Linked DNA regions of Astyanax mexicanus. The protein of the gene in region 2 interacts with the protein of the main gene of each other region in a pairwise test. Links are inferred from orthologs where the notes say so. Each region holds a gene or a part of one and is shown on either strand. Other genes may lie near its edges.

Region 1 (16,832 bases), on a different chromosome or scaffold from region 2:
CATAGAGTACACACACTTCACATGCCACTGCTAAGAATGATGTATAAATGACTGCATCAGAGGTATTTTACTTTGCTATCAGCACTGTAGACATCTGTCCACTAACTGATAAGGTCTGAACAGGGCAGGGATATCTGATTTTGCTCTATTCTCATTCAACTCAGAGGCTAAAAAAACCCCCAGCTCAATTAAAGTGGGTCACAGCAGCTCATATCACGTCCACTGTCATTCTGAATCACTCTGTGATAGTCTGATGTGACTACCCACCAGGTTTCATTCCTTATGGTTGATTCTTTGTGTGTGTAAATAGCAAGTTCTTGAAAGGCTTTCATCAGCTTGGTGATGCATTATGTCACTGTCCGTGAATGCTTCCACATTCACGTACTTTCTGGCTGACAGACTGTGTAAGGCATGCAAGCTGCACCACTAAATTGCAATGTTGCGTTAGTCAACAAATCTATACTGAAAACGTTGTTTAGGAAATGCCTTCAGATCAGCCACAGATTTACTTTGAAAGCTCCCTCCTTGATGAGGCCTCCAGACAAGTTTCCACTCGAACCTTTGGCGCTGAAGCCCAACAGCTTCGCATTCAGGGGCCAATTCAGTAACGCTGGAATTGCTCATTCTCTCATCAGCCCCAGACCACACATCTTCACATGCCTTGAAGTCAGGCCATGCACCCAAAAGTGATGGGCTAGTACTGATCTTCAACATAAAGAATTTGTCTAATGTGAATATTCTACACAGCTCAGTGCCATCCCAAACACTCAATAACCCCCTGACCTGCGCAGCCTCACAAACCCATAAAACTACAGTATTTCAAAATGATAAACGATTACAGCCTTTCCAAGAGAAACACAAGACTTATGCAATTCCTCTCCTTGGACAAAATTCTTTGTGCTCAACAGCCGGGAAATTTTTTATTGATAGCATCTCACATCAGCTTTCTCTGCCAGGACAGTGGAGAAACTTACTTAACATACAGTACGTTCCTGTGAAGTAAATCTGCAAAAGAGTGACATCTAGTGGCAATTCTAGACACTGCTTGATGGCTTGGTGTCCCTCTGATGCAGGGGTGTCCAAGGGCTCCTGTGGATGCAGGTTATCATTCTAGCCTATTATAAGAAGAACATGTTAATAGTTGTTTGATTACTGACCGTGCAAAAAAAAATTAAGAGGGTTCAGGTGTGCTGCTGGTTGTTTAGAATTAAAAACTGCAGCTCCACTTACACTTTGCAGACACCCCTTCTCTAAAGAATACTAAAGGATATCTTGTTGTTTTCTACCAACAAATGCTATTTTTTTTTTACAATAAATACTGTATTTTTACAGAAACACATAATTACTCCGAAGAATATGAGATATGTAGGACTATAATAATAGTATTATATATAAGCATTATAAAGTATCTCCAGTGTTCTGGCAGAAAAGGATAATTTAAGATATCACCAATAAAAAACAAGCTATGCCAAATGTTAGAGGAGAAATTGTATACATTAATTTGATTTTTTTTATTTTTTATGTAGTAGATTAATATTAAAGACATCAAAACTGTGGAGAAACGGCTAAAAATTCATAGTAAATTAAAAAATGAATTTTGCACATGGAGGAACAGTTTTAAGAGAATAATGTGTCTGTTTCCAAAAGCTTATGGACCTTACAAGGTAGTACTGTGTGATTTACACACTGTAAATTAATATTGAATACTTTAAAACTAGGAAGGAACACTAAAAATAAAAACAGAAAAGTGTTTGGCCTTCACAATCACCCAACCTAACCCCGGTGTTCAGCACATTCCTCAACAGCAGACTAGATTAGATTTGATTAGATTAGATTAGATTAGATTAAATTAAGCTTTATTGTCTATGTGCCAGAAACTGGAATGCAGATAGCATCTAACTAAAAGTGCAAAATAGCAAACATATGTGCATAGGTGCAAAAGGACAGCATTAAGGCCACAACTAAGGGGCATACACTTCCTTAAGTCTCTGCTTTGGCCTAGGGACTGCTAAAAGTCACTGACTAGACAACCTAAGTGCCCTCACAATGAATTACAGCACAAATAGTTCAGAGATATTTTGTGGCCTGTGTATCAAAACCAACATTTAAACTGAATCCTAAAAGCAACATGCAACTAATGAAAAGGTATCAGTACATAAAAGCATTAATAAAATTTTCTTTCCTTACGATATAAATAATGAACTTTAAGCTGTGACATTTTCCATTCTTCCTTTACCCGCCGACAGATATTTTTCAAGAGCAAATATCATTGCTTATCCATAGAGAATAACAATGAGAATTCATTAGAGGTTTTATCCTCATTCTGGGGCAACCTTGTTAAAAACACTTAAGCATACACTGTTAAAAGAGCTGGCCAGGTCATTAACATCAGTACAAAGAGACTAAAACCTTTATTCAACTCAATATTCAACAGAAATGATGACTAAAAATAGTAGAATAAAGCTCAGAGCCGGCCCAGACCAATGTGATGTATAAGGCGAGATTATGGTTGGAGTCCCTTGAATCATCAATCATTGTGTTTAGCATTAAAGAGTAAAAAAGTATTACAGAAACAAGAGAAATTAAAATGATTACATAATTATGTACAAAATTCGGAACGATATATAAACATAATATTAATATATATATATACTATATTAATACTTTATTGCATTAACCTGCACAGTAATAAAATCTGTATAATAAATTATATAAATATAATTATAAAAGCTAATTATATTACCTATGACACATTATAGCCTGTAACATTCTAAAGACATACATACATACTACATACTGTATCAAAAGCAATTAATATGTATTAATAACTACAGGAATATCATTTTGATTGACTAATATAAGAAAGGCTAACATTTGTCCAGTTTCTTCAGGCAGATAGTGGAAGCTTTGTGCAGGCAGTGTGTTTAATTCTGAGGGGACGACAGATGTATGTTATGTTATTATACCTGAATGGTCTTTCCTAGTTTTATTAATGAATTTAGGGTAGGCGTTACAAATGATATAGAGATGATTGTTAGCTAGCAGTTATTTATTAAATGAATGAACAGTAGCTACTAATGTTGCATCTGACAGAATGACAGGATGGGCTTTTAAAAAAAAAATAGAATTAGTAGAAATACAGTTTACAATAAAAGTTTTTCATTTTTTTCTTGGTGACGCCCTGGCCTCCTATGGATGGACAGTGCCACTAGCATATGCCTATACTGCCTATGAGACAGGTTGGCTCTTATACTGCTATTCTAAAGATAACTATGCATTTGAGATATACAGTATCCAGCCTGGAGATCCAGTAGATGGAGCTAGACATTTAACCTGCCTGTGGCATCTGGCTCATCTGGATCATTTCATATCAAATCTCACATCTAATACATCAGAAACAAAAGCATGGGTCTGGCTGTTTCATAGCAGACAACAAAAGTGTGTTGACGAGCAAAAAATAATGGCATCAAAGAGCCTTGCGCTAATAATGTTTGACAGCAGCTGCATGAGTCGTGCTATTTTCTGACATCTGGGAGCGTGTGTTTCATGCGACAGATAAAGTGTTCCTCTGTGATTTGCAACAGCTGTCATTTTGAACTAGAGCTAGTTAGAAATTGTCACTATTCACAGCAATCATACAAACCATACACACACACACAGATACAAAGAGCTTGGGAGACTTCAAAGCTAATATAATCTCTTTAGCCTTTCCTTATTACCCAATATGACACAAAAATGTAGTCCTGTAGGGCTTTTAGACAAAAATCACATCATCTACCATCATATTTCTGATGTGCATTAGTTTAGACTGTTTAGTCTCTCTGTTCTCATGCTGTTACTGTAGCTGACCTCAGCTGGGCTGCCACACAGAAGACAACAGCATCCCAAACAGAACCAGCGGTCACTGATTTTAGTGGCTTAGTGACAGTTTTTGTCACAAGTGGTTTCTGTTCAGCCGTGTGACAGGATGGTGAGGAAGAAGCTGCTGTTGTGTCTGAGCCTTTAAGATGAGATGATTAATGACAAAGGGCCGGAGAAAGCCCAGGGCACAATCTGACGGATTATTATCTTTACTTTAGGAAAAAAATAGAGACTGTCACATAAACAATTCAGATTCTGACAACAGGACAGTGACTTCTTTCACTGCGGAAAAACTGCAGAACCAAGAAGACGTGGCTATGAAAACAAAGGGCAAACAAGACCAAATAAAGCAGCATACTATTTTTGCTGCTGATATATGGCATCTGATATATGGCAGTATAAAGATATTAAATATTACCATGTAAACAAAATACTATACATACTGTATATTTAATATTAACATATTGTTACGCCCAAATGTTTGGGGACATTATTTGTAATATAAAATAGAGATAAAATGATTATGTGAGACAACATTGATGTGTAACAAGCATGTACACTAACATTCCACATATCATGGGATAAAAATATGTTAGTATCATATCCCATGAAAGTTAAAGAACAATACACAAAATTGTTCCAGTCACAAATTTTGCTTTTCTAGACCATAGTCATACATAAGGAATACTTTTTATCTAAACTGCATGATTTGTCTGCATGAAACAAATAAAGACCTGGATGTGTTTTGAGTCTGTTAAGAGAGACAATTGTGGACATATTTACAGAGATTCATGACCATTTCAGTATTTGTTAGCCTAGCACATCCAGAAGCTTCAGATCTCAAACACCTTGGAGAGCCAACTAAATCTTGAGTAAATAATCCTATTAATTAAACCTTCACCAACTTGTTCTTTAAATTCATGAGCACATATCTGTCATTTGCTTTAGGCTGGAATATTTATATTATACAATCATTTCTTTAATGCCCTCAACAACGTAACACAAACATTAGCAACAAACTCGTGTTTGTGTAAGCTGATAATGGCTCTCTGCACTTGGTCACGTTTCTTGGGGGCATATCCACACTCGCTGTGGAGGTTAGAGGCTTGTGCAACAGGGTGTGAGGCCTTTTACAATGTGGTGTGATAAATGCTTGGTGTGTTCCAGCTCATTCGCTGTGCTTAAAAAAGCCCAGAGAGCTCCAACACTGTCAAGCACGCCAGCATCAGCCAGTGATCCGTTTCTGGGTTTATCTACTCTCATTCTGTCTCATGTAGCCACAGGATTTCTTCTGCCTCAGAAACAATAACCTAATTATCTCCACTGTTCAGACAGATGGGGTAGTTGGTACATATAATTACCAGCAATGACAGGTCAAATTCCATATTCAGAAAAAGAAAGAAAAAAATGAGAGAGAAAGAGAGAGAGAGAGAGAGAGAGAGAGAGGACACTATGAGCACATTGCAGTCATGTCATGTTTTCACACACTCCCTCCACTCAAGCTCGAGTGTCTTACTGTGAGAAGCAGGGAAAGTGCTAATGGGTGTGCAAATATTTAGCGTTTGTGAATGTGATTGACTGTGTGTGTGTGTGTGTGTGTGTGTGTGTGTGTGTGTGTGTGTGTGTGTAAGATTTAGGTGTTGACGGTTATATGGTGTTGGGAAAAGTAAAAAAACGAAATCTTGGCAACGTGCTACAGTTTCCATTCTGTCACCTGCTGCTGACACTGACCAAGTCCCAGTTCGACTGAATCAGGGTTTCTAAAGCTTAGTGGTTGTGAATCAAATTAAGAAGAGTCGATCTCTGCACCAAACCCATTTAATACTACTGGATGCTTCAGGACAGATGATTTATAGAGGCATTTGTACAGCAAAGAAATGCAATTCATCCATTGCTAAGAATGAACTGAACTTTAGGTCCTGTCTCTGATCTAATTTGAAAGATGTTTGCCTGTACTATTCTCAAATTTACTATATATCCAGAGGATGCAGTGAAATTGTGAAAAAAAAAAAATTGGGAAATTTAAGTATTAAGAAGAATGCATCTGTATTTTACGTATCTGCATTCATTCCACATTACACTAGGCACAGTATGGGAAATATTAAATAATATATAATAAATAATATATTAAATATTAATATTTACACAGTTCAGTCAGAATATTATGAACACCTCCTTGTTTTTACACTCACTGTCCATCTTATCGGCTTTACTTATTATACAGAAGCACTTTGTAGTTCTATAATCAAGGACTGTAGTTTTTCTGTTTCCCTGCACTATATTATCAGGACATCCACAGAGCAGGTATTATTTGGATGGTGGATCATTCTCAGCACTGCAGTCATGGTGGTGGTGTGTTAGTGTGTGTTTTTTAGCTTGTACAATGAATGGATCAGACACAGCAGTGCTGCTGGAGTTGTTAAACAATATAGTGTGACTGCTGGTGGATAGGAGGATGACCAACACAAGACCAACTGTGAAGCAAAAGATGAGCTTTTGTCTACGACTTTACATATACAAGTAAAGGGGGGTTAACAATGTATGCAGAGAAACATATAGACTACAGTCTGTAATTACAGAACTACAAGATGATCCTGTTTAATAATGGATCAGCTGGTCAGCTGAGATCTGAGATCCACCACTGGGGTTTTGTGTTATCTTTCTTGACAGAACACAAGCACTTATATCTTGACTCTTTTTTCAGGGACAGATTAACAAATGAGCCTCCCGAACATGTACCTATGGGCTCTGGCCACTAGAGGGCTCAAAATCAGCATAGACTTATAGACTATAGTTAATAATCATCACCAGGGAGCTAGAAGAATACAAGCTAATGCAAATGCAGTTCAGATAAAGCCTACACCTGTGCTTTTATATAAAAAGAAAATACTTAAAATGACAAATAGAAGTCAAGAAGCCATACTAATAATGAAAAAGTACATAGCTGTTATTCCAAACAACCTGCATCTCAATTGGAACTTTACAAAATGTACAAAGGAAGTAAATCATTACAAATGTGAGGGTGTCCAATTTATTTTCCAAATTCCATATTACTGTGTGTGTTGTCCTTCATTTTTGAGTTACTACATGTAAAATATGTCTACATGATCTAAGCTGGTCATCAGGAGAAAACATCATCTTAGAACTTGAGCAGAAATTTGTTAATTTAAGTTGGATGGACAGGCAGGTCAAATTTCACATTGTACTTGTTGCATAACTTAGTGAAGCTTGTTGGCCAATTTGTTAAAAATAAACATACTGGTCAACCACCAGCATCATGCTGGCAATGCTGGACAACCAGATTGGTCATAATGATCACGTTCTCAAACAAACTTAGACATGCACCTCAACAAGACTGGACACACTATTTAAATTGCCAGATCAGGCTGGTCATATTGATAGACTAGATATACCATCAAACTCAAACAAAAATATGCCCTATGTTGGTCAAGAGCTAAGCTAAGCAGTTAGAAATTAATAAGCAATTAAGTTTTAAACTTAATATATTTAGGGCATTCACTATCACATCACATACAAAATTCCCAAAGCATATTGCCCAACTATGCTTTTAGTCTACCTGACAACCGATCAGTAACTGTAAGCTGAAAAGGGAATTACACACCCTGGATCAGACTTTCCAGTTAAACGCATATCCCATAAATCTGTTCCCGGTTCTTCGGGGAAATGAATGTGCTTATACTACACTTTTTTCCGTATGCTAACTCCCGCTATTTATGAGCTTTACATTCTGCACACAGCTTCCCCTCCTGGAGCTGAGCAGCCAAGGGAAACTCAAGGAGGGCAAAACATCATCAGCATTTCTTTAAAAAATGAACAATCTGTTGGAAACACATTCTACTTACCCTCTATATATTTAAATTGCAAGATCCATGTGCAAAAAAATGAGGTCCCTGCTGTGCATGGCAGCTGTAAAAGTCAAATAAAAGCACAAACTCATCAGCAAAGTAGGAGGAAACTTCACTGAAAAAGATAAGTAACAAAATAAATACATCAAGTATTAACAGCAAATGAACACAGTCAGCATTAAAATTGTAAATGCGGGTGATTTCTCTGGAAAGCACCCTGGGTGGGATGTAGTAAGATCCTCAGTCATAAAGCCTTTATGGTCAGATCGGATTTCTTTTGGTCGGCTGGAGTGCGCCTTAAACACAATTGGAGGAAATATCTGATATTAATGTGAGCAGTCTAAGCAGAGCGGTAAACCTCAGTGCTTGTGCTGGACTGAAACCAACCGCACTCAGGTCCCGCCAGTCTGGTGTGGCTCCACGGCTGAGTTTACTTGGCCACGGCTTCAGTCGACCTGATCAGGGGAAGTGTTCACATGTCACCTGATACTCATGACTCATGAAACTCACACCCCCCGAGTAGTATGTTTTACTGTGGGAACACAGAGACTACGCTGTGGAAAAATGTCACTTGTCGCAAGATAGTTGTCTCTGGTCAGCAGTCTTTCCTGCATTGTGGAGATTATCAGCTTTACCAGGTGAACACTAAAAACATATTATGGAGCAGATAATGCTCACACAGGATGTCGCACACCCAGAACCTCATTAACACTAAAACACGTAATAAAAACTACTGGAAGGCTTTTTCAATTAATACAGTGCCTTTGAGTAAGAAGTAAAAAGCAACATGTGTAACAGAAGAGTAGTATGTAAACATTTTAAGAAGCGTTATTACAGGGGATGGCTTGGAAACACCGATATCTGTATAAGCTTTTATAAGGTCAGGCTGAACACTGGTCACCTTGCTCATGGCAAGTCAATGTGAATGATCGTTGTTCGAGCGAGGCCATAACATTATATTTCTGAAATTGTGTGGATATTTAACATTTCTCAAACTACCGTGTCAGGTGTATACCGGAAATATATCATAGACAGCATTAACATCCATAGTAGACAGCAGACTGCGTGGTAATGATTGTGACTTGCAGCGTCTGGTTAGCCCCCAATTTGGGAACCACTGGTGTAGAATATAATATAATGTAAACTCTGCATGAAGTCTCTGTTGGGCCATGTCCAACATATCAATGCTTAAATGAAAATTATTTAGAATTGAAAACAATTAACCATGGTGGTGCTTAAGCCCTGGCTTTTCACCAGCCACCAAAATATGTATGGTAGGCGAATTAGCTATACTAAATTATCCCTTAGGTGTGAGTGCGTGAGTTAATGGCTGTGTGTAGTACCCTTCAATGGACTTGTGGCTTGTCCAGGAGATATTACAGTCTTGCACCTCATGATGTCGGCTTGGATCCAAACCCACCGCTACCTTGACCAAGAAGAAGCAAATAAAAATTAAATGTTAAAAAATATTAACAAATTAGGATAATTCAAGACAATGTTAAAAAAATATGTATAATAATATAAATAAACATATTAAGTAAACTGTGCTGCATAAATAAAGCTAAAGCATTAATATTAATCCGAAGTACAACTAGGTCTATCACGATAACATTTTTTGTGGACATTATATGGACCCAAAATGATTGCGATAAACAATATAATTGTCATTTTAGATTTAAACAATATCACTGACATAATGATAATAAGATTGCGTAACAAAACAACTATACACTTTTAAATTGTAATTAATCACAGATTGTGAAATATACAATTTTCTTATCCTACTGCAGTCCACAATCATTGGTCTGGTGTTGCATGACTGGCTAAAATACTGTTTGGTGATATGTATGTGCCCTATCATATCAGTAAAATTTTGTAAATGATTTAAAGAAAACAATATTGTAAGTAGTAAAGTGACTTGAAACAGTCTTTTTTTTGTATTTACTGGAAAGCTTTAATGGTTCATTTTGTATAACGTTACATGCATTAAATGTTGTTCTTCTTATTATAATTATTATATTATGTGTAAACCCAGAATGTAGGTGAGTTAGCGTTGTTTATAAAATAGACAAAAGTTTACTGATTTATTAGTGTTTCTACTGAATGTTTGAACGTATTGTCCCTTAACCGAAATAAGTTTTATTATATTTTATAACATGTATTGGTCGAAGTGGCATAAATTAATTAATTTATTAATAATACATTTAAACACTGTAACGTTATTGTAGGGCCAGATTGCTCACCGTTGATTTGAAAAAAAAAAAAAAACTTTTTTGGTAACTTCTCTGTCCAGTCACCTTACCATACCTTATAATTTAGCTTTAGAGTTAATTTTAAAAAAACATTATTTTATAACGTGTAGCTAAACAAACTATAAGTGTTAAGCTAGCAGACCTCTTACTGTGCTTACTGTGAACTGTTAGCCGTGCCCTCCCACTACCACCACACACACACACACACACACACACACGCAAACGCAAACTAACTAGAATGTGTGTGTGTGTGTGTGTGTGTGTGTGTTACAGTCTGTCCCGTACAGCCTGCCCAGTCTCTGGCTCGCCCGCGCGCCTGCTTCAGAGCTGTAGCCGCTGTAGTTGGGTAAACTCCATGGCTGAAGGCAGTCAGTCAGCCGGGGGGAGACGGCGGCTCTGAATACCCGCGGATTAAACACGCGCTGTGGGCTACTCCGGAGGGAATTACGGGAATTATTACTCGGCGGAACCGAAAGCTGGGGAGGGAGGAGTGTTGTTTCTATTTTAGCGAGAAACAAAGAACAAACCCGCTCTGTTTTAGTGAATCTTCTTCTTCCTCCAGTCAGGTAACGAACCACAACAAACTCACTCGGCGGCGCGGTTTCCATTAGCAGGAGAAACACGCTGAGAGAGAGAGAGAGAGAGAGCTGGGCGGGAATGGCTTCGTCTCCCTGTAGCAGCAGCAACAGTGGTGGCAGTAACTTTGACTGCGGACTTGAAATCAAAACTCGGTCTGTGGAGCAAACACTCATCCCGCTGGTGTCTCAGGTGAGTCTCCTAAAGCCTCGGGAAACTTGCCCCGTACTTCTTCTTCTTCTCCGGCTGTGTGGGAACATGTTGGTCGCTAGGCAGCAGCTCCAGCCCGCTCTCAGCGGGGCTGCCTGCCTACACAACTACCTAACTACCTAAACTACCTAACTAGCTAGCCTTACTGTGTGATATAAACATGAAAAAGGGGCAGAAAATGTGAGGAATTTTCCATAATTACCCAGCGCTGTCAGTTAACCTAGCTCTTATATTTATGTTTTGGGAGTGTTTTGAGTTTATAAAACGTGGTGAAAGGAGAACATCCTTCTGGAAAGTAAGTAACTATGTATATTTATGGTTTTGATAACAGCCTAACCTATCAAACAACTAAATTCCCATTTAATTAATAAGTATCTCATTGAGTAGCTACACCTCTGGAAAAATAAGAGCCCACTTAAAATGTTTTTCTTTGGGTTTCTTTGATTTTACCAATTGAATCCCTCTGGAATATAGTTAAGAGGACCAACAAACTGTTAGAATTTCTGCACCAGGAGTGTCATAAAATGATCAAAAACAGTGTACGACTGGTGGAGGAGAACACACCAAGATGAATGAAAAGTGTAAATAAATACCAGGGTTATTCCACCAAATATTGATTTCTTAACTCTTAAAACTTTATACATATGAACTTGTTTTCTTTGCATTATTTGCAATGTTTTTATTTGGAATTTGGGAGAAATGTTGTCAGTGGTTTATAAAATAAAACATCAATGTTATTTTACTTAAACATATACCTATAAGTAGCAAAATCAGAGAAAATGATACAGAAACTAAAGTGTTTTTTTTAACTTTTTTTTCCAGAGCTGTATATATAACTAACTAGCTTGCTAGTAGTTTGTTGAAACTCAGATACCTGCTGGTGTTAAGGTGTATCAGACCTTAATTCATAATATTTTAAAGGGCTAGCCCTGCTTCTGGTTTTTATTTTTGACTCAGTAAACCTCAGCAAACTTAACATATCTTAATCTAACTAATTGTGTTTGTGTGTTTGTGTTTTACTGTGCTCTACTGTGAGACTTCTCATCCAGCAGTAGAAACCTGCAAGGTGTTTTTAGTAGCGGTGTTTGATTAACCCTCCTTATTGTTTAGGAACAGCAATGGTGTTCCTGGGTCAATTTGGCCCAGTGCATGTTTAATTATCCGAAAGAATAAATAATAAGAAAAAATGTGTCAGTTTGACCCGTAACATAACAGGAGGGTTAAAAAAATAATAATAATCACAGTAGAAATCGGTAGTTATTAATCACCATTATTCACACTTTTTCTTACTTAAGACTAAGCTTTCCATAATTGTGTAAATGTAAATAATCAGTGCCATGCACATATAGATTTATATTATTGGTGCCAATCCCTTAATCCCTGTAACTAAATCATGGATAAAATGGTGATTACATTACATGTAAATGCTGGTATTTAAACTACTTTTGGGAAGGGGACAATAATGTATTAAAGTATTATAATATATCAGGGTAGTTTTGATGCTTTTTAAAATGGAAATCTCAGTTACTGAGTTTAATTATAATATTAAAAACAGTGTGTGTTTGTGTGTTTCATGGTGGAAATCGGCAGAAAAGTGAATAAATAGATTACATGAATATAAATCATCCCTATATCAGTATAGATCATGTTCCACCTAATCATTTTATTATCAGTCAAATATTGAATTGAGTGTGTGTTTTAAAGCAAGAAAGCACCAAAATGTGTAGAGCAGTAGGCCTCCAGCCCTAGGGTTGAGAAACAATGGGTTGAAAGACCTGTAAACCCTGTATACCCATTTTTTTAAACTGTTGACATAAATGCTAGTTTATGTACACAACTGTTGTATTACATTATACATGATCAGGCTGTTTTTACTTTTTGCTTTTTTTTTTTAAGTCGAACTGAATTACACATGTATGTGCACACTTTTTGTGGTTAAATTGTAGTTTTGTATTTGCCTTTTCATTTAAAAGCTGAACAAATATTCATTTAGGCTATTTTATGCATGCAGTTATAAAAAAAAACTTGTTTAATTTTGGTTTTGCCCCCAAAAATCTAATATTAACATTATATTAAATCATTTTATTTAAAAGACTGTGCCTAATTGAAACAATAATCTGGACTGGAACACTTCACCTTGTGTGTTAAATCCACCTTGTGTGTTAAATTAAGAGGCAAGGCTGCATTTCTACCAGTGCTGAACAATATGCTGTAACTTAACCCTGCTAAAAAATAATATTTAACATTTAAGGCTGCTGGCACACTGTATCTTAAACACTGTGACTGGTGAGCTGTGGGTCACCATAAAGATCATGACCACCATTGATGGTAATGAGGCTGAAAGGTCAGTGATAGGAGACTCGCTTATGGTCTATTCAGTGTCCCCCTGAGAGATGCAGGACCCTTTCAGTGTCTCATAGGGTTCGCACAATAGGTGGCCCAAGGCATCCCAGTGATAACCCTCCCCCTTTCTCCTGGTCTGTTTCATTGAGCTTATTTCCATTGAAGGCCTTCAATGTTGAGAGCTAAAAATATGCACAGACCAACCGCCTTTTATTTAAACCACCTGATTGTTTCTACACTCACTTTCCATTTTATCAGCTCCACTGAGCATATAGAAGCAAGTTGTAGACTGTAGTCCTTCTATGTTTCTGCATACTTTATTATACTCCTTTTACTCTTATTATCCTTCTTTTACTCTCAGGACCACCACAGAGTCGCTCTTATTTGGGTGGTGGCTCATTATCAGCACTGCAGTGACACTGACATAGTGGTGTGTGCTGCTGGTACTTTATACATAGCAGTGCTGCTAGAGTTTTTAAACAGTGTCAACTTACTGACCACTCTATTAAACACACCTACCTAGATAAATCACTTTTGTAGATAAAGTAAAGTCAGAGACAGGAGTTCACCTGTTGATGCACAGTTTGTGTTGGTCATCCTGTATTCCTTAATCAGTGATCACAGGACGTCGTCCACAGGACTCTATTTGCTGGATATTTCTGGTTGTTGGAGTATTCTCAGTCCAACAGTGATACTTAGGTGTTTGAGAACTCCAGCAGCACTGCTGTGCCTGATCTACCTGTAACAGCACAACAGACACTACTAACACACCACCACCATGCCTGTGTCACTGCAGTGCTGAGAATAATGACCCAGCATTCAAATAAGGCCTGCTCTGTGGTTGTCCTGTGGGTCCTGATGATTGAAGAACAGGGTGAAAATTGGGTTTGTAAGTATGAAAAGAAAAAGATGGAGTACAGTTTGTATTTATATACCTACAAGGTGCTCCTGTAAGATAAGTGGAGCTGATAAGATGCAAAGTGAGTGTAGAAACAGGGAGATGAGTGCTTGGTATTTATAAACCATTAAAAAAGAATGATGGAGTATAAAGAGGTAAGCCTGATGCTGATTAAGAGATCATCTTTATGCTGATTCCTTCTGAATCTGTGTGTATATAGTGTTGCACAGAAGCCCTCAAAACCTCTACATTTCAACAGTAGTAAACAGAAGTTGAGGCAGCTTGGAGGCAAACAGAACTGACGTAGCTGTTTGTTTGTGTATGCTTTTTGTGAAACACTGCTCTTGGGTTAAAAGTGCATGTGCTGAATGACAAATACCCAGCGCTGAGCAAAAGAATTGTTTTTCTTTTCTTCATAATTGATGTTTTCTTCAGCCAGTGGCTTTGCGCCTGAAAACCGCCCTGCAGCAAATATCCGTCAACAGTAGTGATTTCATCCCTGGCAGTGAACATATTGGAGTAAATAATGTGTGCAAATGCAAGTGTGAGTGTGAGAGGTCAGCGGAGGGTTGTGGGAGGGAGTTGGGCTGATTTACAGGGAGGAAATGAAGTGAGAAAAGGCACTATTAAGAGTGTTTTTTGACTTGAAGGGAGGGCTGTGGGGCTGCACATCTATGTGATCTTTTGTGTGATCATGTGATCACTCCCACAGCTGTGTAATAACTGTCTTTAGACTCCAAGACCTCAGAGAACCTTTCTACCTGCATGTCTGCTTAGGTGACACATCTGTGCTAGACTGTGGCTGTATAGGGAAAAAAATATGAAGGCCTTTGTGGTTTAGATACCAAATTTCATGACCTAGGAAATTTTATTCTGTCAATTTTTGAACATATTGATTCATAAGGGACACTCTGATCTAGTTGTTCTGGACCACAATCTAATCTGATAACCTTCATTTTGGGTATGATGTATACAGCTGGACAATATGGCCAAAAGTTTTAACACAATATATTTTTGTTATATTACTTACAATATAATTTTGGGCAATACATGATTCTGAAAAAGCCACCACCCGTGGTGTATGCAATCAAGCACTGATGTTGGCAGGTGTTTTGCCCTTTCTGTAATGAACTTAATCAGTGACAGATGATGTAGAATGTTCTTATGTGTTAGAATGCTAGGCTAATTTTTGATAGTTTCTTGTAGGAAAGCCTTAAGGAAACACATCCAGCATGTCCATACATGCGCAATGACATCACTCTGGTGTGTGAATGAAGAGCAGAAATATATTAGTGTGAGGTCTAGGAGTCCCATGTGGACACGTGGGACTATATATATACAGGTGTCAACCAATACAATTTTATTGTGTTACAGAATAAAAGTGATGTCAGCTGTTAAATCATAATCAGATCATGTCAAAATAAAAGTCAGTAATTCAAATGAATAAACAGAATATGTCAAAAAGGTCACTAATTTGAAGCTAACAGACAGGCAATGAAACAGACCATGTCAAAATAAGAGTCAGCTTTAAATAGATGTTATATTAAAATATGCCTGGATGGTCCTGACCCTGACCAAAAAGAAAATTTTAATCTGGTCATCAGCATCTCTAAATGTATACGGTAGGTGCATCTGAAAACAGATAATGGCAGAAAGAGCAGTTTATTAAGTAGGTCTACCTAATAAACTGGCAGCCCTTTGTAGTTCGCTGTGTATGAAATATATTAGATAACTTATTAAAATAACAAATTTCCCAAACCCAACACTACTACAACCGCATGATAAAACTAACTAGACCTGGCTGATGTGTTAATAATTGTACATCATTGTGGGGTGTGATCTTGTAACTTGAGTCAGGATAGTACTTATAAAAATTCTGCAGAGGCTTTGATGTGATCAGTCAGATTTTGAATGCCTATGACAAGAACGGCTTGTTATTACATATTTGTGCTGGCTCTGTCTTTTTTTCTGCCAGGCTAAGCACCGTTTTCCTGAAAAGATTTGCAGCTATAATTGGGCTGAATATCCTTTCTCTGTCTCACTTTGTTATGTTGAGTCCTTATGATTTTGTTCGTTTTGTGCCATCAATTGATTAATTAGGGTTGTAAAAGTGGGGAAGTTGTGTGTGTGTGTGTGTGAGTGTGTGTGTGAGTGTGTGTGTGAGTGTGTGTGTGAGTGTGTGTGTGAGTGTGTGTGTGAGTGTGTGTGTGAGTGTGTGTGTGAGTGTGTGTGTGAGTGTGTGTGTGAGTGTGTGAGTGTGTGAGTGTGTGTGTGTGTGAGTGTGTGTGTGAGTGTGTGTGTGAGTGTGTGTGTGTGTGAGTGTGTGAGTGTGTGTGTGAGTGTGTGTGTGAGTGTGTGTGTGAGTGTGTGTGTGTGTGAGTGTGTGTGTGAGTGTTTGTTTGTTTGTTTGTTTGTTTGTTTGTGTTTGTGTGTGAGTGTTCACTTAAGTGCAGAGTCTGCCATATCATATACTATACCATATCATTATTCATGCATAGTCTTGGCTGTCCAGAAAGCAGAAGTATTTGTAAAGTACAATTTTAGTCTAAAGCATTATTTAGTCCTCTCTTGGCTCTTGATAGTTTAATGATATGCACCTGTTTTTCACTTTTTCAAGCACACTGTTCCCAGTATACAAACTGCTATCCCATAACGTCTGGCATAATCAGTGAGTCCAAATTTTGTGATGAATAAACCTACAAAAAATTAAATAAAAAAAAAAGCTAAATATTTTTGCATTGACTTCCTTTGAAAGTTTAGTTTTTTTTCTTTGTATTTGAGATAGAAGGTCTTTGCATTAGTGCGCAGCATATTAATTATCCATAG
Region 2 (17,310 bases):
AGAAATACTGGCATTTACAAATCCTCTGTATTTCTAGAGGAAAAAAATTACAATAATTTGATTCCATGTGTGTTATGTTCCCTTGTCATTTCATAATTAATTATGCAGATAAAATTTTGGCCTTGATTTCTAATTTATGTATATATATATATTTATATATATATATAGAAATTATATTATATATATGCAGTCCAAAGAAGTGTTGAGAGGACTAAAAGAGAACATCTTTAAGCTTTAAAAAAACACAACAAAACAAGCATATTGAAAGAGAATATAATATACTAATATACTATTTATTTCTTTAAAAAAGCTCATTCACAATATCTATTCAAGCCAAGAACACTATTGAGGACATGCGATCATGAATTTAAAAGAGGGTGTAAACCACTGGTAACACACAAGAACAAAAGGTGAGGTGGTGTGCAGAAACAAACAGAACTGACTTTAAGTAAAACAAATGATGTTTCATGCATCTGCATGCTGCTGAACTGTAGTAACTCCTAATGTGAATGTAACACGTGGTAATGGGTGAGGATTTTCCCACTCTTTCCAAACTTAAAGCATTAAAAAAAGATTTTATTTTAACAAACCAGAAGCGCTTGGAATGTAGGACACAAGAAACAGCATTTAAACAACATAACTGCAGTTCAACAGTGGAACAAAAAACCTGATACTTCTTTGTTTTCAGTATTAGTCATTTTTACTAGTTGTTTTGAATGATTTACAATTACAATTTCTCCAAATTGCTAAAACTTCCACTAATACAAAATACCACCAGTGCTGGGTGGTTGAAGACTAGCACATGGTACAATCAAGGCATGTGAAGTTCACCAATGACACCTTTCAAACAGATGCTAACCCAACATAGCTGAACAACTGTTCCAGTTCTTCAGTTCCATTACTATACTCCTATACTACTATACTACTATGTGATGGGGAGAGAGGCAGGGCTGCGTTATGCCGACCTTACATCAAATGATTTCCAAGTGATTTCATTGTCGCAGACAAATTTCCAGAGTTGGGATAAAATCACAAGAGTCTTGCTCGAGTCGAGTTGTGGTCGTGTCATCTCGATGGTTCAGTGTAAGGTGGGTAGGATTTAAAGTTTTACTCAGTCTTTTTCTCATTCTGGCGTTCAGATAAAATCAACAGTGTTTAATATTATTGCTCACGCAAATAGTGACGTGAACAATGTCAACAACCAATAGAAAAGAGAGCTACGGGAAGACGCAATATTTTTTTCTATGACAGTTTACAAACAATTAAAAAAACGTATTTTGCTATTAATATGCCTAATATGGTCCTTTTTATTTTTGATACAAACAATTTAATAAATACACATTTTGCAAGAATTATGTTCATTATTGCATTAATTCTATCTAAAACAAAGGCAAATATATAGCAGTGAAACTGTAATTGTTTGCAATAAAAGAGGAATAGAAGCTTATAGACAGAGTTTAACACAAAAAGTATTCTATTACAAAATATCAAGAACATAAATATAAACTGTTAATGGGGACAAAAGTTGTGAGTCTGATAAATCACAGTATTAATATACACATTATTTGTAACTTAATATGTAATATATATTGTATGGAAAGAATCTAGTTTCAGTCTTGCAGTTAGTGATCCCCAGTCTTTACTAAATCTTAGTCTGTTAGTAAAAAGTCTGTGACGAGTCTTTAGATGTGAGAGAGTGTCAGACTTTAGTCTGTTAAAAGTCTTTTCAGAGTATTTTCAAAGTCGTGTAGTGTATGCCCAGCTTTACTCATATTTAAATATTTTGTCTTTAAAGGTAGATTATGTTGGACTAATAATAAAAAAATGAAACGACTGATTTTAGAACAGCAGAGCATGCTACTACTGAATGTAGTTGCGTGAAACGTTTCATGTACATACAATATATAATGGCAGATAATATGACAGTTAGCAGTTGCACTTTTTGCTAAATCATTTTATGCCTGACTTTAATAGAAAAAATGCTCGTCAAAACCACTATTAGGCAACACCAACATACACAAAACACTTAAACCAACTAACAACAATAGCATCACACACAAGCTGCGGACTAATTTAAGAATGTTTTAAAGTCTTAAAATATCGTTGTTTACCGTATTTTTCGGTACGAATGATGAAGCGTTGCTCTATGAAGACCTTTTTCAGAAAGCTCGTATCAGGTTCAGGAGGATAGTTTGTTTGGAATCTAATTCAGAATCTGGTTCCGCCCATCAGTGGAGAGGAGAGGCGGGCAGTGCCTCAGTATAAAACAGCGTTTCTGCTTGTCAGACAGACGGAGCGGTGCGACAGACAGGCTGGAGCCTGAGCGCAGGTCTGACTGCTCAGACGCGTGACTGGAGGCAGGTGGCAGCTGCGTCTGCGCCACAGCAGCGTGTAGCTCGGTGGATTATAGCCGCCCTTGTGCAAATAGGATGAGGAGGTAACTAGGTTGAGCCGCGGCTAAACGGACAGAGACCTCGGTGGGATGTGGAGGCGCTGCTGGCCTCAGTTACTTAATCTTCCTGTAGAAACAAAACAGACCAACAAGCAGCTCCTCAACCCCACAGAGCCGCTATAAACACTGTGCTGCTGCTGCTGCTGCTGCTGCTCAGACCCATACTCCACCATGTGCTCGGGAAAGAGGAAGCCTGTGTTAATCAGCCTCTTATTCTAAACATTATTTCCAAACACACTGCCTGAGCCCGATATTAAGCTGCGCGTGTGCGCTTATGAACTGTATGATGATGCTGATCAAGGGTCACAAAATATGTCGCGAAACTTTGTGAACCAGAACCCAGTAAAACCCGGGCGCGGGTTTATCGTGCTCTAAAGCGGTAATGATTTGATCTGATCTGAGGGTCGAGCTCGGTAAAAAGTCGGTCTGATCTGAGAGATCCGCCAGATCCAGACACGCGCCCGAATGGATACAGCGCTATTATTAAATATCGTGCGATCTAGCAGCGGCGCGTGACCGACAGCGCGACTCGATAATAAATGCGTCAGTGCAGGTTTCTGTGGCGAAGAGCAGAATAATCGCAGCTCCTGATCACATGGATCAACACCAGCCTACCTCCACCCCCCCCCCCCCCCCCCTCTCTCTCTCTCTCCATGTTCCCCTGCCTGTGTTTAGTCTTACCCGCACGCGCAAGGCTCTGTGTCGGTATGGAGGAATCTCTCCTGCTCTGGTGATCAGGTGTTTCTGGAGCAGACGGGTTCTGGGTAAGGGGGCGCTGTGAGTGAGCGGAGAGTTACCTGTAGTGAAGACGCTGCTGCTGCATGTTTACTCCTCTCAGCGCGTGCTGAACTCCATCACACAACTCTATACTGAACCCTCCCCTCTCACTCCTCACCCTGATCCCTCTCTCTCTCTCTCTCTCTCTCTCTCTCTCTCTCAGACTCCACACCTCCCCTCTCACTCCTCACCCTGATCCCTCTCTCTCTCTCTCTCTCTCTCTGACTCCACACCTCCCCTCTCACTCCTCACCCTGCTCTCTCTCTCTCTCTCTCTCTCTCTCTCTCTCTCTCTCTCTCTCTCTCTATCTCTCTCAGACTCCACACCTCCCCTCTCACTCCTCACCCTGATCCCTCTCTCTCTCTCTCTCTCTCTCAGACTCCACACCTCCCCTCTCACTCCTCACCCTGATCTCTCTCTCTCTCTCTCTCTCTCTCTGACTCCACACCTCCCCTATCACCCTGATCCCACTCTCTCATTCACTCACTCAACACCTCCTCTCTCAATACCTCACCCTGATCCCTCTCTCTCTCTCTCTCTCTCTCTCTCTCTCTCTCTCTCTCTCTCTATCTCTCTCTCAGACTCCACACCTCACCTCTCACACCTCTACCTGATCACTCTCTCTCTCTCTCTCTCTCTCAGCCTCCACACCTCTTCTCTCACACCTCACCCTGATCTCCCTCTCTCATTCACTCAGACTCTCAGCATCTGCCTCCACACCTCCCCTCTCACACCTTCCCTCTCAACCCTCTTATCCTCTTCTTCCACAGTGACTCCCCTTCCTGCCAAGTAGCACAGCCAGTTCTGAACTGCTGTACAGAAAGGGGGCAGCTGGAGAGACAGCAGATGGCCTATAGGCTATAGTTAGAATCTTCAGCCAGAAATAACACAGCACCTATAACTGATTTATCAATAACATTCACTTTCACTACAACACAACAGGCCCCTGAACAGTACTCACTCTGATCAAAGCTACTCTGCACGCTTTAACACATTTCACAAATCACTAATTGTGGTGTAAACATGGTGATAGTGATAACAGCCAGGGGTCGCAATATGTCTGCACTGCAAACAGAGAAGTGGTTCTGTTTCAATAGCCATAAATACATGTTGGACAATTCTGCTTAATAAACATGTGAATAAGTAATTTAGGTTTTTCTCTTACTTTTTTACAATCGCAACATGAACACATAATACTGTAAATTAAATAGAAGCATGTATTTGAAATCATTCAGTGAACATATATAAAGACAGGAATCTTAGACTGACACCATCTGCGTTTCCTTTACAGAATAAGATGGTTAATATGTCGATGCATGGACAGCTACATATATTAAAACCACCTCTTCACACCACCTAACTTTGGGCATCCACTCTGAACATACAATTTCTGTCTAAAGGACAACATAACGAATAGACGTCATGTGCTGTGAGTTTAAACACTACCTAATTGCCTATCCACTATATGAATTTTAAATCTCCAGTTTCATTCCCCAACACTAATTTTACCCCAAGGTTGCCAGTTTTAGGAACACAACACCGGCAAAGCAGACGACATGGAATCTAGCAAGCAAGCAAGCAGTCTGATTTAGCCCAAATCTTATCTGCTACACAGCCGTAAGCCTTGGCATTCATCCACTTAGGGAGCAAAGATGGAATAAAATGAGAGTAAATATTGGCAGTGAGTTGGACAGATGGAGAAGTCTTCCAGCTCAGAAAGAGTAAATATAGTTGCTGAGCTGCTACTTTTCTCCTGAACAGGTAGCTGAGCTACTTTAGCCAGGTCATTTATCACAATCTCTAGGTTAGCTTATTTGGGATGGTCACTTTAATTATTTAACAAAAAATGTGTTTTTGCATTTATATCACTCTGTGTGCAGCTGGGAGAATAAGGCATGGGGTAATTGAGGCATTACTGGTGAGGATAGCTAGGTTAGCTAAAGTGATGTGGACTATGCCGGCTAACGCAGTCATGCTACACAAGCTAACATGAACTGCAGTCAGTGGAGGAGCAGATGCCTTGTATCAGATTACTATCTGATTATCTGATCAGTGATGAGTACACCGATAATATAAACATTTCTTATGTCCAAAAATACTCCATTCTCAGCAGCTAGCGTTAGCTATTTATCTGTTTATCTCCAGTCCTCACTGACTACACTTACAGGGGTCTGTACAGTAGAAACTCGAAGGTGTGTATTTTTGGAGCAGTGGGCCCTTTCCGGTATAATGGACTTGGCTTAGGCTAAGAAAGCTAGCGGCGTATAAAGCTAGCTAGTTAACTGCACGCGTTCCAGTAGGTTTAGTGCCCTGAGCTTGGAAACCTGAGTCAGCTTTAGTGCTTTGGCAGAAAAGATGAGGAGACAACTATTGTTCTGTCTACACTGTGTTTATGTGCACCATGGTCCTTGGAGGAACGTTGTTTCGTTTCACTCTGTATATAGCTGAAATGACAATAAAAACCACTTTGACTTGACTTTGACATAACATTAACATTGATTTAATGTTGAAATGCCAGCTGGGGTTACACACAGTAAAACATGTTCACAGGAAGAATGGGAAAAAATACCTCCTAAATTATGACTGGACTCTTTTGTACATATGGATGTATATTTCTTGGTGAGAGATTGTGACTCAGTGTCACACTTGAAGACAATTCTTCCCAGTTGACAGACTTTAAAAGGGGGCACATCATTGCAGAGAAAGAAGGAAGAAGGATGTTTTTGTCAGCTATTCATCACTTTTATTCATGATAGTGTTGTAAAAGAGAAATCTCAGACTGGAACTATATTGTCTTTAGCAATAAATCCAGGTTCTGTTTTGGGATCCAACAACAGTCAGGTTTGAATATAGAGTTTTGGATAAGGATTTTAATCCTGACTTTCCTGTGGAGTGACACACTGCTGTGATGATCTGGGGATCCATTGCATACAACAGCTGGTCACCTCTAGTAGTGGTGCGGGGAACACGAACAGCTCAGCGACTTGTGAACAACTCATTGCAGGACTTCCAACTGGCAGGATAATTCTTGACCACACACAGAATTCCCAGGACTGTCCAGATATATCGCCAATTAGAAGTCCAACAGGGTAATATAGTCTCTATACTTTTCTACAGTTTCACCCAATAAACTTATCTTTCACTCTACATACATAGATAGATACATCTATACATAGATCATCATTACATTCACACATCAGAATAAATAACAGTACATACAATCAGCATTCAATAAATGGCAATTAAACATAGAAATATTTACTGTGATTATTTTGGTAAAGATTATATATATATATATATATATATATATATATATATATATATATATATATATATATATACACACACACAGTATAAGCGAATGTAAAAGTTGGGTTGTCTTTTTTAATAATCTAAACAGATTATTTAATGTGGTAACAAGCAATTGAACTGGAATGATTTAACTGTAATAAATACTTTGAATGAAGCATTACTTCATTCAGTATAAAGATAGATTTAAAAAGCACAGGCACGCCCTAGCATGAGCAATAAAAGAGGAACGTAGGATGGATACGGACAGCAACAGGGTAGAGTTGCAAACCTCCAGAGCCAAACTGTCGCATACAACTTGAGAAATGCTCTAAATTAACTGGACACTCAATGCCAAAGCATGCCACAGTGTGACTAACAATAGACCACCCACATTCTGCAGAGCTTCTTCACATGCACTCACACAGCAGCAGAAGAGCTGCGTTCTTCAGCAGTTATAGACTCTGAGAATCTTGGTAAAAGTGTTAAATTAGTAGTTTAAATGTCTTTATGCTGCTAGCTAACAACAATATACTAGCTCAAACAAGGCCACTAGTAATCTTACACCAGGCAGCTGCTGCTATTTTAAGTTCTTTAAGACCATATTTCATCGGGGGAGTAAATATAGCCCACTCTGTGTCTAAGCTGGATTCAGGGAGGGTCACAAGCCAAATGATTATTACACAAATATGTTCATTTCAAAGGTTTTACAAAAACAAAGACTTATAGAACCATAATGAGCAGACGCATCAACTAAAATAAAGTTAATAACAATGACTTACACGTCAACATGCATACATAAAAAAAGTTAATTCCACAGAATGTTTATTTTCTGAAATCCTATTTGCCTCGCTACACGCTACAGTGAGTTTGGTTCTCTTACCTGATCGACTCTTTATGATTTCTCCAAATTCATCTTCAGAAGCCTCCACTTCCCACTGGTCCTCCGAGTACCCGGCTTCAGCCATGGCAGAAAATGTGATGTGTATCAAAATCAAACAGTCAGTGCCTGATACCACAGAGATGTAGTAGGTGAAGTGTGGGCTGGATGCAGGGTAGTGAGTAAATGCTAGTGCTGTAAGGACTGAACTGTTATGATTCAGGGGAAGCAAACTGTCAGGAGGCCCAGAAGAGCAGGAACAGGTGGCAGAGTCTTCTCATCTCAAAATAGAGCTTACAGACGGTCTGCGTCACCGTGGACTGCATCACAAACATACGCCGGGTCTATTTAGGATTAATTAATCTAAGTATTGATTACAACTTTTAAATGTTTCCTTTGAATTTTAGGTAGAGTGTCAAATATTCCTGTAGTTAATTCGTAAATAGTGAATAAGAATGTTCCTATTGGGTTGGAGAGTCCTCTTGCTTGCTTGAAGGGCAGTTATACACACTGATCATAGTTTATATAATCCAATCAGAGGCTGTGGTGATTGGATCTGGACAAAAAAGGCAGTGCAATTAAAATTCATTTTTAAGCTCATCTAACCATATAGAAGCACTTTATAGTTCTATAATTACAGCATGTAGTCCTTTTTTTCTCTGCAAAATATGAATTGCCCTGTTCTTCAATAATCAGGACCTTACAGGAGCAAGAATCACATTAGAGTGAATTAGCTAAAAGGTCAAAAGAAGTTTCTGGACCTGGATGTACAATGGGCAGCAGTTCACATAAACTCATGCACATTACAGTGATGATTATTGTTTAAAACCTTTTATTCTCAGGGCAGAAACAAATATTCCTGAAGCTGATCTGACCTTAAGAACAGACCAAATAATTTTGATGTGACTGAAATCAGGATTCTGAGAAGGTAAACTATAATGCTGCATTATTTGTCCCCTCCCTGCTGTCCTGTGTCAAAGATTCAACTGTCTGGCTGATGGTTTGAGGTTATAAAGAAATCTTCATTACTCTGTTCAGGTTATGTAATGAACTAGTGCCCGCTGGCAACAAAGCAGCCCCATAGTATGATACTACTCCACAATGCTTAACAGTTGGCCTAGTGTCCCAATATTATTGTGGCTGAACAACTTGATTTTTGCATCACAATCTTTTCCTCTAGGAAGCTTGTTCTTCGTCTATTTGTTTTAATTTTTTTATTTAACTGTACACAGTGACACTGGTGTTGCAGAAGCATCTTGGGCTACTGTGGAATCTGTTCCTTTACCCAAATTAATAACTCATTTTAATAGAACACACTTTCCACTGATCCTGACATTATCACCTGCTTTCTGGGACCAGGTCTGCTTTTCACTGACAGACAGATTCTATTATCAGATCTGGTGAATTAGATTTCTTAAACTGAATTTCAGTAACTGGTTGATTTAGTAGCTAAAAGGACAATTACTTGTTCACATGGATGATCTGGATTTTGAATTGATGTTTATCTGTTAACAAATGTAATGATCATTTCAGGGCTGCATCGTGTTTATTTGTATTGTCTTTATATTATATTCAAATTAGTTGGATGATCTACATTTAAATTATTCGTACAAAGAAGAAACATTTCTTCATACTGTATGTAAACACCCATATGTACATGATCATAGTTAGTTATTTACAGGCTAACTAACCATTAAAACATTTTGCTATTTAAGCAACTAAATATTCACCCAGTCCATATACCTACACGGAAATGGATTTGTCTATTAAAGTATAAAATAATTTTCCTATTTCATACGGATAACTTTAGCTGAGCAAATTACAGAGATTTCTCTTATGGAACAATTGGTCTGAACTTGAAATTGCCTCACTCACTGTCCCAATGTACTTTTTGGTTATGTGTACAACTTCCATATTTTGTAGCCAGTTACAGACTTGGTTTTATAGCTTTAAACTTTCATTTCTCACAATAATATGCATTAACATGACCAATTCAAGAACCATGACTAAAACTGACAGCAAAAATACATTTATTAGACAGTTTCCACATACAGCAACTATCATTGAACAGTATATACATGACCAAGTTGTGTGTAAATATGACTGAAGTGGAAGAAAGTCACATCAATGTCAAAAATAACCAGCGTGTTTTAACATTTGCGTGTGTAAATGAATTTCTTGTGAGCACAAATGTGAAACTCGCGCGCAAAGGAATTGTGTTCACGCTGAACAGAATATCACTCTCAAGCTTCATTTTTCTCCTCTAGGGTTTTTCTTTCATCTCGAAATCAGTTCTCCTGTGGCTGCAGTTTGTGCGCGGGTGATTTTTTCGCCCCTTGACTTTTGAAAGGGGTGGTTTTGACAGTTTGGGGGCGGAGTCAGGATCACCTCCCTCAGCGAACACTATTGGCTGATATCTCCTGGGGTTTGTGAAGGACCGCCTACCTCCCAGAGCCTGAGGAGGGTGGAGAAAGAAGGACAGCAGGAGAGTTAGCTAGCTGCCTATGCTATCATCCAAACAACCCTTCGCTCACAAACTGCTGCCACAGGAGAACGGTGACTTCGAGACGAAGAAAGAGAGAGAAAAAAAAAACACCTGAGAGGATTAAAAATGAAGCTTGAGAGCAATATTTTATTCACTGCGCACACAATTCACTTTTTTTGCTTGCAAGTTTCACATTTGCGCTCACAAGAAGTTAAATTACACACGCAAGTGTTAAAAAATGCTGGTTAAAATTTTTATTCATCTGTTTTTTTTTGCACTTTTCATTGCTCATTAAACAAAAAATTGCAGGTCACACAAGTCCTTTTACAGAAGATCAGCATGAATCTTCTTTATGAGGTTAGTCAGATAATTCTTTGCCGGCGTAACAGAGCACAAGACATCTTCAATCTGGTCAACTCTGTGAAAAAAGAAAGAAAAAAAAACTGAGTACAATAAGCTTTTAAACAAGGACAAGAGAAATGATGCTTACTCAATGTGCATCATATTTCCTCAAGTGATGTATAGATAAAGCGTCAGGATATTATGCACTTCTCCATCTTGTTTCCAGAATGCTGTATGCTGTTTTAAGACGCATTTTATGATGTTTATCTATCCCCATATTTTGCTAAGCCCAGAAAAGTGATGCGTGACAATCTGAAGCCACTCTTTGAATCTATGAAAGTCTGGCAAGACCATCCCCCAAGATTCATTCCTGTCGACGGAATCCTTCTGAATGCATCTAGTTTTGACAATGAATGTATACTGAATAGTAACTGCAAAACACCCTTCATTTAAAACCAAACAAATAAAATACCATACCTTGTTTTCCCAATGAGATTTTGAAACTTCTGCATTTGAAGGGGATTCAAGGGATAGTCTGGAGTTACAGTCAGACTTAGCTCAAATTTGGCACAGGCCTTGATACTGGAGAAAACAATCTCAACTCTAGGAAAGAGAGAAAAAAAGATATTACACCTCACATTTCAGTATCAAATAATAATAACCTCATATTGTTAAAAGGGGTTTATTTTTATTCGGTTATACAAAAGGAATTCCAGTTGCGAGAGGATACTGAAGAAAGAGAAGCTAGCATAACTCCGTTGGTAGAGTGGTTCCACATAAGAGTTTCCACACCAGTAATATTTGTTGTGAGAATGTGATTAGACAGGTGCCATTTAACCGAATTTATTACTCTGAATATTAATAGAGCTATGAACAAAGGGCGTCTATAGTGTTGCTTCATGCCAAGTTCTTATATTACTGAACATGGTGAGTGCAGTGCTCCCCTCTCACAGCATGGAATATATTGTTTTCAGTGGGAAGGCAGCACACTCTTCAGCATTTAGTGTGAAAGAAGCTTCACACTACACAAATACGCATGCTGGTCTGAAACAGGACCTTTCTCTCTTTATTTTACTATCCCTGCCCCAGACCACTCTGAGTCACTGTGGTTTGTTGTGATGCATTTTGCTGTACTTGCGTTTTTTATTGTGTGAAACTAAATCCGACCAAGTAAACAAACTTGTTAATGGATTCTGACCAGAGAAACCAACCACAGGTGTGAAAGGAAAGTGTTTCTGCTTTACATTTAAAGACAAATTCTGTTGAGTTTTATGAGGCTCAATTAATCAATATTAACTGACATACAACTGGTCAGGTGTGACATCGAGACATGCCACTTTTTGGATTGAAGCAGATCATATTGAGAAAATAATTTTATTTTGACTTCATATTTACAAACTAAAAGTGTTGCTAAAAAAGCCTTGACTGAGTGTACAAAATGATGCTTTTATTATCTGTTTAATTTCTTTAAGATGGTAAAGGTCTCATTTTATCATTAATTCTGTGTTGGATTTGGGTGGAGGAATGGGTGGGGAAGAAACACAGGATTTTTTCTCTTACTCATGAATATCCATGATATGCAAATGTCACTTAGGGCACTGCGACAATCCTTTCACAGCACTGCAGTGGGCGGGGCCATAAAATCTCGTTTTCTTTTATTGGTTAATTCAGGTAGAAGCACAGTTTCACATGCAGCATGCAGACACAACTCAGTGACCTACTGTATTTCAAAGAAGCAAAAACTAACTGCTTTCTAGTGAAATCACCTTTAAGAAGTCTGACAGATGATAAGTGTATGTTTGAATACAGGATTTGACTTACAGTGTATCCGAACAATTGAAGTGTAGGATGTCAAATCTCAATCCTCCCCATTTCTTCAACTGGTGGATTTCTTCACCTAGAAGTCGAAGTCTGCTCACCACCAAGCTGACATTATGGAGTAACTATTGTGGAAAAATTACATATACATTCAGATTATTCCAAAAATTACCATTGACTTTGTTAAATGTGTTAAGCATCGTATTAATTATATATCATTTTCCTATTTTTGCATCATTAATGGTATTACATAAAGATAATTCCTTTAAAAAACTGATAATTCCGTTAAATTCTTAGAGGGGATAATGCCCACCCATACAGCTCAACCAAAACATTAGACATACCACTGGTATGTGTCGTGTGGTTGGGTACTTCTGAGTCCACGTAGGTTGGGCTTTAATGTGCTCTGCAAGCAACACATGAACCATGCGGGCATGAGGCTGCGATGCGTCACCTAATGGAAATAAAAATAAAAACATGCTAGAGTTTTTTTTTTAAATAATAGCTGTGTAATATTTTTGGGAATACTATATTGATTTTCAGTATAGCAGAAAAATAAAACCATGAACACTAGACAGCAGTGCTTTACTCTTGTTAAACCTCACTGTTCTGCAGATTTTATAAATATGAATAGTGATTTTATACATTTATATATCTAAAATCAGATTTAAACAACCACAACACACTGCCATGATTACAGAACCACAATATATCATCACATACTAAATCATAAGCACTATCATGAGATGCATCGTTTTGCCAACCCGCAGTCTTAACCGACAAAGATAAAAAATTATTTTATTCTTACACACAAAGGTTCATCACCGGAATAGTGCCTGCATAAACAGGTATTGTCCACTCTCTACAAGCAAACTGATTAAGCTGGGTAGCATTCTCTGCAGAGGTCCTTTATTGTAAGCTAAATACAGTGAAGGGGTAGTAAATACTTTACTTAACACAAATATTCTCCCCCCAAAAAATCATTTCCTTAATTCATCAAAATTCTCTTACCATTCAATAAAAACCTGAATGATAGATCCACATCCTGTTCAACATCACAGATCCATCCCCTTTCTTAAAGAAAAAAGAAAAGGATTTCATATTATTTACTGTGACATTTAATGTATTTGAAACACTAATAATTTAATAAATAATTAGAGAGGTATCCATTAAGACGTACCACCAGGGTTTTTCAATTTTACTTCCATTTCAACAGTATTGTGAAGAAAGCTGAAAACAGCCGTGTTTTCCTCACGCTCACAAAACTGCCACTCATTCAAACTAAAAAAGAAAGCATGATTAAGCTTGTTTATTGTAAATAAATAATATTTAATATAGTAATTGAAGCCCAACACCTCCACATGCTTACAGGACAGTACCTGAAAATAGCGCCCCCTGTAATAAATGCTGCGGGTTCTCTATTCCAGTCAGACTTTAAATCAGTAAGCTAACTTGTATATGGAATTTGGAAACGGTAAAATCCAATGCACAAAAAATAAAAACTAAATTGTATTTACTGTCTGTATAGGTCTTAAATCAGAATTTATTTAAGACCTATGGAAGAAGGAGATACATATAACTTTTTAAAATACTTTTTAAGACAGAAAACTATTCTAATATAGTGTGAAAATTACAGTATGTTAATGCTGTATGTTTACATATAGACGGACGAAAAATTTAATCCTTTAATTTTCCCAAAAAAATTCAGTGAACCTTATATATAATTTTATCAGTCAGGTATTAAGGAGCAGTAAAGTCACTCCACTGAAGTACAGAGTTATACAGGAGATTCAGTTTAGTTCTCCAGCACCCAGACTGGAGCAGCATTAGCATTAGCCGCTAACCACGCTAAGCATTTGCTCTTCTGCCATTTAGAAGTGAGTATAATCTGCCTGTAGCCTGCTGCTACTGTTATCTTGTTAGTTCACTTATATGACAGTGTGTATTATTAAGAGCGCAGTCATTACGCTGAGCTACCAGTTTATTAGGTACTTCGCAGATACTTAACTATAATTATTAGTATTGTCACAACTACACTTCTATAGACGTAATTCACAAGTAGCAAGATACACCCAACTGTACTGTCTAGTGGTTAATAAATGATAAAGCTCAAGTAATAAAAGGTACAAATAATGTAAGCAATACATCCTGTGTTTGACAAATCAAACATCACAATGATTTAAGACCTAAAATAAATTATGCCCCAAATACAAATTCATAGAAGATAAATGCAATAATACACACTGCAATAAAATCTTTGTAACCTGAGAGGATCAATAAATAAAGAAATATACATCAGATGGTTTAATTAATAAAAGCACCTACATTTTTAAAACCACATATTAGTGCTGTAACACCACCCCAAACAAAAGATGTACAATCATGTATTTTAGGCCCATTATGTTTTGAGAATGTTTATTTATATGTATGTGTATTACCTGTTCAGAGTTCTGATACGGTTTTCAAATTCTTTGACGACTTCTTGCAGGTTCCCCAAAAGGCTCTCAGAAGAAACCCGCTGACGTTCTAGGTCACAAATTAGTCTGGAACGGGGGGGTTGGCAGAGTGTAAGCAAAATCTTGTACAGTTGTGCACCATGAGCATATTTTGAAGTTTAAAGGTTCTATTCATCAACTATAATTCACATAACAATTCTTAACAGTTTATACGTACTTTTCTGTCTCTACAACATCTGAATTAAGAACATCAAGCTCCCGTTTCTTTGCTTTTAAAGCCGACTCATCTTCACTTAGGGAATGTTGATCGCCCGTCAGTATACTGCTCACTGATTCCAGTTCTACATGAAAACAAATCCATAATTTAAATGATTGCAAATGATAAATACAAGTAAAAGTAATTATAATATTTGTGTCAATAGATATCTACGAATCTATACCAGATTCCAGGTCAATAATGCATCCATCTAGGTCTTTCAAAATTTCATTGGTCTTTGAGATTTTATCCACCAACTTCTGTTTTGACTCCTACAAAAATAAAACATTTAAAATCATTTAAATGTATAAAAACCTCCCACAAAATAAAGTGCAATGGTGATTAGTGCATTGTGAAAACGTTCGTCATTCCCTCCTGTGAGTATCTGTACAGATCAAGTGCTCCTAACTCCTCATCGTGATCAAGGTGATGATCCTAAAATCTGACCTGCTATAAATTAACGGAATGTTCTGAACACATGCTTTTACTGTATCAACTTAATAAGCAATCCGTTTGTAATAAGTCTTAATTTATTTATATATATATATATAAATCATATATATTACTTTTTCACAAGTTGGGTAATGATTACAGCATGACCAACATAACCTTACCTGAGTCGTTTTACAGAGTTCAGAGTACAAGGCTTCCTTTATCTCATGAGAAAGTGCCTTGCTTCTCTTTCTGAAGTTTCCCCTTCGCTCTTTCAGCTTTCCACCAAATTTCTGTAGCTGTAGAATATGTAGAAAAAAAAACATAGCTACTTATTTTCCTCTTAGTGCCTAAATGATAAATGTCTCAATTTAGTTTTCTGTGTTAAATTCTGATTGTTTAAAAAAATCAAATAAATATTATTTTTGAATTCTATTTTTAGAATTATACCCATATTTAACAGACATTTTAACAGGCCCAAAGACTTACCTGGACACCTGAGAAGGCGCACACATCTTGTAGAACTGCTGCATTGACATCTTTTAGTGCTTTATCTTGTTCTGTCATCTGCATTTTAAACCTAAAACAGATCATAATTTACGGATTTAAAATGCTCCCTAAACACACAATTTCACTTTAACAGTAGTATTCACTAATACTGTTAGAGCTGCTTTACTTGTTGTGGTTCAAGCATAGCCTTGGGCTAAACATGAATGTGCCAAAGATGAATCAATCATCATCAGTGTAAACCCTTTCCTAGTTTAAGCCAAGATTTAGGTTACTTTCACACCTACCTTGTTTGGTCCAAACCTTCTGATTTTTTTTCAGTTTGGTCTGAACCAAATGGCGGGTGTGAAATGTGTTCCAGACCACAATCTGGACCAAAGGACCAAGATTTCATCTCACCCAAAGAGGTAGTTTTGGTCTAAAATCAACTCAACCATGGTTTGAAACATGCAATGTGAAAACAGTATTTCAGGATGGGTTAGACCGCGGCCAGTCCAAACCATCAAACAACAGAATGAGAGAAGGAACAGTTATGACTCTTATTTGCGATACGCTCATGTTAACTATATCTATACTGCGTGTACTACTGTAGATGAACATTACTGATAAACGGTCTGACCAAAACGAACCAGTCCAAAAGCAACACATCAAGACTTAAAAAGGAACACACATACATTATGATTTCCTTCACATTAAATCTGAAACTGTTGGATGATGAGGTTAATTAAATGTTTTTATATAAAATCAGGCCATGAAGGTTTCACTACATTAAAAATCGAATCCATTTTTTCTGTCTAAAAGACCTTTAATCTGAGTTGAGGAAACTGTCACTTAAACATCAGATCTGTACACTCCCAAATGTATTTAAATGTAGAAACCTTTTTAAAAAAAAAGTACATACCCCTCTGCAAGTTCTGCCAGTTTCTGGCAATCTGCTTCATATACTCTCTGCTTTGGACGGAAAATGTATTTTTCCCTGAGCAGGTCCATCAGTGTGTTGGTTTGGGTGATTCTAAACTAAAGCACAAAAGCAAAGAAGATTGAGGTGATCAGTTATCAGTTGAAATATATATGGAATTATGGAAATTTGGACAACTTACATTTTCAGGAAGAGCACTGGGTCGTGATTTGTGAATTACAGAGTTTGCACCAAAGTGGCTTAAGAACTCATTCACTGTGATGCTTCCATCTGCAAGTGTCTATATAAAGAAAAAGGGAGGGAAACGGTAACTTGCATGAAATTGTGCCAGACAAAATAGCTTGCATGGTATCTCAACCAGTGCATACAGAAATGTCATGAAAAGTGGAAGTCACTACTTTAATTTAAACGTGATCATCAGCATGGTTTTACATTTTTATTCAGATGGTTTAACTGACCTGCCACAAGAATGTGATATTAAGACTACTATTCAGACTAGATGCAGAGGTAGGGGAGAAAACTATGCCATACAGACATGAACAATGTGAAATAAGAAAATCACTGCTTATTCTTCTAAAATATTCTAAAACTGGACAGATGTTTTTACTAGAAGTAAAAGCTTTAAAGTTGGATTTGTAGTGATATCAAACTATCTGCTTTTTGCTTTAAACATTGTCCTATCCTTTAATAACTTACTT

What was found.
Region 1: the proteins of dmd (region 2) and ctnnal1 interact in binary tests that used the Homo sapiens proteins (3 or more experiments, as listed by UniProt). The two-hybrid records come from large-scale screens. The link is inferred for Astyanax mexicanus from reciprocal best matches to the Homo sapiens genes DMD and CTNNAL1.

What each region holds. Positions count from the first base shown.
Region 1 is NC_064410.1:47,337,673-47,354,504, forward strand, and holds the start of ctnnal1 (alpha-catulin), read left to right. Parts: upstream 1-10,217; 5' UTR 10,218-10,636; coding exon 10,637-10,747; intron 10,748-10,889; exon of another isoform or gene 10,890-11,000; coding exon of another isoform or gene 11,001-11,060; intron 11,061-16,832. UniProt on the Homo sapiens protein: May modulate the Rho pathway signaling by providing a scaffold for the Lbc Rho guanine nucleotide exchange factor (ARHGEF1).
Region 2 is NC_064428.1:3,145,296-3,162,605, reverse strand, and holds the start of dmd (dystrophin), read right to left. Parts: upstream 7,605-17,310; 5' UTR 7,486-7,604; coding exon 7,401-7,485; intron 3,269-7,400; exon of another isoform or gene 3,250-3,268; intron 3,154-3,249; exon of another isoform or gene 3,134-3,153; intron 1-3,133. Other genes in the region: uncharacterized protein knl1, read right to left, coding at 10,207-10,300, 10,702-10,827, 12,046-12,167, 12,387-12,496, 13,054-13,116, 13,223-13,323, 14,481-14,585, 14,716-14,839 and 5 more. UniProt on the Homo sapiens protein: Anchors the extracellular matrix to the cytoskeleton via F-actin. Ligand for dystroglycan.